Drosophila melanogaster: one gene and its partner. The protein of the gene in region 2 interacts with the protein of the main gene of each other region in a pairwise test. Each region holds a gene or a part of one and is shown on either strand. Other genes may lie near its edges.

Region 1 (3,756 bases), 1.1 Mb from region 2:
GATTTTAAGCCATACCTCCAAAATCGACTGGGTCCAGTTTCATTTATTTTTTTTGTTGGTTTCTGATTGTTTGCTAATTTCAAAAATATTTGATCTTTGTATGTAAATGATTTTAAATAATTTATGCTAATGAACCTAAAATTTTTGCTGTTCTAACTTGTTTTAAATATCAGCCACAATTGAGCTGAGGATATCGAGAACCAAATCGGGTTTGACTTATGGCGGGTGGTGCTTAAAGGTTAGAAAGTGAAAGGACTTGGAGAGATATTTGCAGGGGCAAACCGATTCCCTCGACTGTTCAGTGAGCTAATTGGCAGCTAATTAATCTGATTCACACCGCCTCGAGGGCAGAGCCCCAATGCCAAGACTTTTGGGGCAACTTTATTTTTCCGAAACTGTGAGAGATTTGGGTGAATTAAAGTCTGGGGAAAAGATCAGTCGGCCCTTTAACAAATGAAATCTTCTTTGGCAACAATGATGGTGATTAATGGACGTCTATTCAATGGCAACGTCAAGAATCTAACTTAAGGCAACGTTTTTATGGCTATTTACCTAAATACGCCAATCGCAAATTGCGACTAGCAAATGTCAGAAGCAAAAGCGAAAATTATGGAAAAAAAAACAAGTTTTAATTTCATCTTCAGCCATGTCAATGCTGACATAGAAACTGCCGCCACATGGCAGAATGCACATGCAGCTGGTCCATCCTAATGACTTAATACGCAAATTGCGGATCGCGCCAAGGCGATTTGCTCTGTGGGCGGCCAACACGGCGTATGCGTAACATTGCACTCGATGCCACTTGCTCAATTTCTACATGGCTTAAATGTCAACCGCCATCTGGTCAACTCTTAACTCGCGATGATAGCCCGGGTCCAGAGCTGGACCCTCGACAAAATGTGAAATGCAAATAGATGGCGATTGAATTGGAACTGCAGTCGGTGTTGGCAATTTATTTGCTATTTCTTCTTGTTTGCGATGCTTGGGTATGCACAGAGAAAAATCGGAATGATTTTGAATGAACTTAAAGGCCCTATCTTATCTTATAACCCTTTTTTATGATTGTATCCCTATAAAATTGTAGAACATGCTTTTTTAGTATCCTTTTATACAAGTTCGGATTAATAAATTTCTGAAGATCTAGCGCTAAATAGCTGACACATTATTTTAACACAAGAAATGTTTTAATTTAAAATTAAAGTTTGAATACAAATATCATTGAAAATTCGTATTCGTTCAATTATTTTCTGTACTGTCACAAGCCCAAACTATAAAACGTGGAAACTCCCTAAATATTTTGGACCAACAAAACTGATACTTTTTATCTTCATCTGCACTGCTTTTCCTTTGCGAAATGTCTGTCTTGTTTGTCTTCACACCGAGGGACACTTGTTTCGTTATTTTGCACTTTGCACACGATCATTGTTCGTTTTGGTTTAGATTGGATTGGAACTGGGTTCGGTTACCATGGTGTACACTTTCGGACTGCTACAAACGGCAGTTGCGGTAATCCCGGGTGCGTAGGTAATCCTAGGCGGTGTGCGTGAATAATCCTTGCGGACGGTACTGTGAGGATCGGAAAGGAGAAGACGCGACCGATCGTATCAAATTCAATGGACGATTGAATTTGATCGATGCCAAGCTAAGTTGGTTTAACTTCTAGGTCGAGTGTGGAATACCAACTAAAGCATCAAAACTTGTAGATTTTCTATATATACTCGGACCCAGCATCTGCCCACTTGGGCAGCGGCGTCGGCAGAGGCATCTTCACCTGGGCGACAGCTGTTAACACACGGCCAAAAGCCGAAATCGAAAGCGTTTTGGCCAGATGAAGATGAGCCGAATACGAAGTCTCTGCCGCTGCTGATGCCTCAGCCTTCGTCGACAGCGACGCCGACAGCTGAATGCTGACCAGAAAGCCAACCAGTCTCGGTTGTTTGATGTTTGTGAGTTAACAGCCAGATAACATGGCTAAGACAAAAAGGCAGCCAAATTAAGGCCCAGCAATTATGGCAGAAGAGCAACTAAGCCAGACGCACCATCCGGCCATCCGACCATCCATCCACCAACGCCTGCTCTTGTTGGCATTTCTATTTAGCCAACTCCGATGGCTGGCAAATATGCTCGTACTTTTGGCAGAAGTCTGCGGCGAGTGTTAAACACGTTGTCGTGCAGCATTTAATTTGGTAAATGGGTCCGAGCCACCGAATTTCATCAATCGATGAGACAAGCCGAAGCTGGCTCGACGATCGAGAGCCAAGTCAAGGCTCCCAACGAAGCTTGCCAAGGCAAATAAGGCCGAGAAGATCAGGCGTTGGCTAATGGCACTTACCCCTCGGATCAGGCCTAAATGCAGTTGGAGTTGCGAGTCGATGTTGGAGTTGGAGTCGGCCAATTGAACATGAACCGGTTGACTTGGCCAAAAATGCGTGTGCCCGGGGGTCAGCAGATGGCAGCCGGAGTTGAATGTTAAGGTAGGCTCAGCTCGGCTCAGCTCATCTCTGACTCCGTGTCAGCCGAGTGACCTTTAAACGCACACTCGAAGATCTCGATGATCGGTGATCGGTGATCGGTGTTCAGTGCTGCATTCTTCGAGCGACTCCCAAACGGGTTTCGGCATTTGTCATCGCCTGCATTTCGCCAGTTTAATAACTAGAATTTATTTATTCGCAAGCAGTCACGTCTTGATTTTAATGAACCAATCAGAGTGACACCCACTGGCCACGCGCAGTCATGAGCGGGCCCAAAATAGATGTGACTTTGAACTCTTTCGGCCCAAAGGTGCGTGGTCACTGGGTAGTCAGGGTCTAGATAAAACGGCGGAACAACACCCAGAGGAAGTGCAGCCGAACGGAAGTCACCCCTGCGGCCATCAGACGCCACTTAGAGCCACATTAATTCTTGTCTTTTATTACATAATTGCTGGCTAACTTATTCGGGTCATAACTTGCTTCGCACATCTTCACAAAGGCAATGACACTTGGCGGCGACTGCTGACATTTCAAATTTGTCATTGCGGATAACTGAAGCGACTGAATTGTTTTTATTATTTTTTTCTTTTTTAGTTTTTGGCTCATCGAATGCTTCTTGACTGCCGGCTAGAGGAAAAGCCTTTTTTTGTCACCTCATCCGACATTGCAACAGACGATTATTCAACTTCCATACCGAGTGTCTGATAATTTGCTGCCTCAAATTTTGGACTCCACTGAAGGACGTTAGCGGTTTTCGAATCAAACAAGACCGTCGCTTGAGCCTGTTCTAAACCGCATTCTAGACAGGTTGCTATTTGGATAATTTAAAAATATATTTGTTAATCTAGGGAAGTTTCAGAGCTCGTATGTGAATTGTTATGAGCCTTTGTCTTCGGGCGCGGAAATCATAATATCTAGTTTTTCATTATGTTTTATCAGAATGGAGATCTTGTCTTGGCGCTATTTCCGAACATTATTTTGTATAAATGGGATTTTTAGTCATCAAAAACAAAACGAGAAGCGAGATAAACAAATCTTAAATCATAAAACTAACTACACTCTTTTTCTGGTAAATACAAAAAAAAAAATCGTCACAAAGAACCATATTCTGCAGATGCAAATTTTTTGTAACACAATTAAATATTATATAAATCATGTTGAAACTGCTGAGTAGATTAATTGTATTCTTAAATGCCTCGACGCTTGTTTTTAAAGACGTGTACCCATTCAGGTAGACAATTAATATTACTTATCTAATCCTAGAGCAAATTAAATACCCTCACGC
Region 2 (3,756 bases):
TTACGATTCCAAGCATGGATAATTAATTTCAAAGGGCCAAGCTCCTTTCCGGGAAACTTATTCCTGGCCGCAGGACAGGCACGTACTGGGGAAAAGGGAACTACACACGTTTTCCGCTGACCTTGCCCAGGACATTGACCAGCTGCAAGCAAAATCATCCGCACACCCACACGCCAGCATCGCCAGCAGTAACTCGATTGTTATTTGTGAAATGGATTTGCAACCGATAATTAAATGCAGCTCTGACCTTGGAAGTCCTTGCACCGAGTTCAACGACTGACCTCACTGCGTATAAGCAAGAAGGAGCTTTATCGCATTGTATAAATAATATGGTGGGGCAACATTGAAATTCAAATGAAATTGCGATTGAAGGAAAGCGTGTACATATTCAAAATTGATGAGCGAAAATAATTTTATGATTTGGTATACATTCAACGGTTTCCTCGAAACGAAAAACCATTTGAATAATATTTGTAGCATATCTTCCAGCTAACAGGTTGTGTGCAATCAATTGAGTGAATCAAATCAGCTGAAACTTCAATAGCTTGCAACAAAGTATTATTTTGGTGGTGGATGGGGGATACAAATTCGCACTTGTTGTTGCCAAACACGTGCAGCGATTTAGCACGCATTACATTACAATGCGGCTCCGTTTCAAGAGCACCTGTTGCCAGCGGCGGCGGAAAATGTGTGGAAAATTTGTATGGAAAATGGGGGAAAACGCGAAGCAACCACTCGAGGAGTAGAATCAGCTCAAAAGCTGGGCGTGTGCTCCACTTGGAACACAAAAGGAAAACAAAAAGAAAAACGTGCGTGGAAATTCCCGCTATCTGTGCCCCCTTTTTCGGTTCAGCGAAGGTGAACATATCGATTTCTGATTTAGCCACTTTGTTATGCTAATTTCCCCGGCTTTCCCGTCCTCGATTTTCCTCTGTTATTCTTTTTTTTCAGCGTCCTGCTCCTGTGTTGACAATTTCGATGAGCGCGTGTCGCGCATTTGGCAACCCAAATTTAATTGGCAACCCGTGCGGGAATTTCGCCTGTTTACGACAGATTCTGGACCAGATTTTATGGTAGCAATTCCATGCACACGTTTGCCCACTTTTGGGCGACTTGGAGGCGATGCACAAGACGCGGCCAACTTTTGGGCTTTTCCACGGCTAATTGAGAGCAACGAAAATGGCTTTGTTGGCGGCGGTAATAAATCGACTTTTAACTGGCGTGTGATATTTTGGCATTTATATTTCGGCAACGGCCATCAATCAGAGTCATAAGGCATAAAAAGGTGCCTGGAACGTGATCGCAATGGGTTTCTTGCAGCTCTTGCCACTTGCTTGCTTTTTTTTTTTTTGTCTTATATTTTATACTTTTTTGCAGCTGGTGGCGGCGGCAGTAAAAGTTGCTGCAGTGTAGCGCGTGCATTCGTAAATGTGATCCATGGCTTTGGGCGAATGAAGTGCACATGATAATGGCTTCTGAGGTGGAAGAGTTTAAGATGTTGATCCGAAGAGAGGGGTGTGTTAAGGTGCATATCTTATATCTGAGGAATTTATTTAGAAGATGTCTGAAATAATACATATGCTTATTAATTTTAACACCATCTATCCGACTACAGCAATTCTGAATTGGAATCTAATAAAAAATAAGATTGGATAGGTTGACTTCTTGACTTCAAACGGAGTCACAAAAGCATTCACATCTTTACTTTACTGATTCGGAGTTCTTAAACTGTTAACAATTTTTTTTTTTTCGGTAAAGTGTGAAGTTATACCTTCCACCTTAATTACCTCATTTGAAGTTTTGACCACCGACTTGTGGTTCGTACTTCCACCGAATTTCGCCTGCGGATGGGGCATTGCAAAACTTGTCGCATGCATTTGCCGCACGATTCGCTTGTCGATTGCACGTCGTGCGCAGATCCCTTAATGGAGTTTTTACCTTTCGGCTCCTCTAGTTTCCAGACCCCTCCTCCACTCCTCCTCCACCTACTCCTCCACCCACTAAATCAGCATAACTCGGATCGTGGTATATATAAACCTGCAATGGTCAGCCAAAATCGATTCATTTCGTGTGAAAGTGTCGCGGAGAAGTGACTTAATACGGAAATCGAAAACGGAAGAAAGCATAACGGGTGAAAATGTTAAATATTTCAAAAGCAAGTGAATCGAAAGTGACTTTTAACTGAAAAATAATAGTTTATCTTTATATATAGATACCTTTGATATGTGTTCTGATGTGTTTTGGTGCTCCAGCGCTTGGAAGTTTCCATCATGAACCATCGACGGTGGGCGTTCCCGTGGGAGTTCCAGTCCCAGTGCCAGTTCCTGTGCCTTCTCCATATCCGGTTCCATCTCCAGTGGCGGTACCTGCTCCAGTAGCAGTACCCGTTTCCGATACCGTCACCGTGCCAGCGGCCTTTAGTGCCCATCAAGGATTTGCGTACGGAGCTGTCGATCACTATGGTCCACCACCTCCGGCGATCTTTAAATATGCTACAACCTATGCGGCACCACAGCCAGTTATTAAGTACTCCCTTGGAGCTCCAGTGACCACTACCACCACCACCTACACCGGATTTGCAGCACCACCACCACCAGCCGTTCATTATGCTGCAGCAGCTCCACCACCACCACAGTTCATAGCCCGGTTTGCTCCTCCACCCACTGGCTATCAGTTTGCAGCTGCTGCCCCGTCATATGGCAGGTACAAGCTCCACTTTGGGTCACCACCTCATCATTCTCCGGCCGCCGTTTATGGAGCTCCCCCTCCTGTAGCATTTAGCACTCAGGGCTGGTAACTCGAGAAGCGCCAGCTGGGCTCTGGCTCATCATGCATAACTATGAATGATAATTTCCTCAAATTAGCAATTAATTAAATCTAAATAATGTTGTTATGTTTCGTATTATACGCGACTGGTGAATTTATGCGAAGAACGCGAAGCGTAGCGATTAAATTATGCTTATGTCAATACCCATAAATAATTCAGATGTTTTCATGGCTCGAAGTTATTTTTTGGCTCAGCCAATTTTGGCCAAAGGCGAGGCTTGACTTTGAGAGGGCCCAGAAAAATGAATAAATAATATAAATTTGCCGCTATTAAAGCTATGACTACGGATCAACTGACCTAAGTCAATGAATGAAAGAGGGAAATAGCGGAGCCATCCGTCAATTGGGTCAACAGTTTAAACTTTAAAGAGCCTTTGAGTTCACAGATAGACAGCTTGATTACACTACAAATATTGTTATTAAACAAATAAATCAAGTAAATTGTGTATTTCCGTATTTAAGTTTGAATACTAATATATTTGGGTGGCGGCTTAACATTTAGATTTAATGTTTAAGAAGACAGAACTGTATTTGTCCACTTTTTGGATATTAATTGGATCTTGTTATCTTGAATTAGAATACATAAGTATTTTCTTAGATACCTACATCTATAAGTCAATAAATCAAGCTATTACACTATAAACAGCACATTAGCTAAATTACTAGAAGTACAAGAACGCTATAGTCGAGTTCTTCGACTATAAGATACCCACTACTCATCTAGTGGGCGAACGAAATAGAAATTTTAACATTTTCTGTTGGCAAATCAATGTTAGTAAAATGAAAAAAAAAAAATGAATAAGTAAGTTTCTGGGTGTAATATTAAATTAATATATCTGAATTTTAAATAAAAACAGGAAAAGTTCCTCCCTTTTCTTTCAGTGTAAACCTCATTCGGATCCGCATTTATTGTGAGTGTATTTTACTATC

Evidence for each region. The genes of interacting proteins can lie anywhere in the genome.
Region 1: the proteins of CG13045 (region 2) and CG13731 interact in a two-hybrid assay, tested with the Drosophila melanogaster proteins (one large-scale study listed by BioGRID).

What each region holds. Positions count from the first base shown.
Region 1 is NT_037436.4:17,387,279-17,391,034, forward strand, and holds the start of CG13731 (uncharacterized protein), read right to left. Parts: upstream 1,679-3,756; 5' UTR 1,470-1,678; coding exon 1,467-1,469; intron 1-1,466.
Region 2 is NT_037436.4:16,289,275-16,293,030, reverse strand, and holds CG13045 (uncharacterized protein), read left to right. Parts: upstream 1-2,080; 5' UTR 2,081-2,155; intron 2,156-2,212; 5' UTR 2,213-2,233; coding exon 2,234-2,797; 3' UTR 2,798-3,319; downstream 3,320-3,756.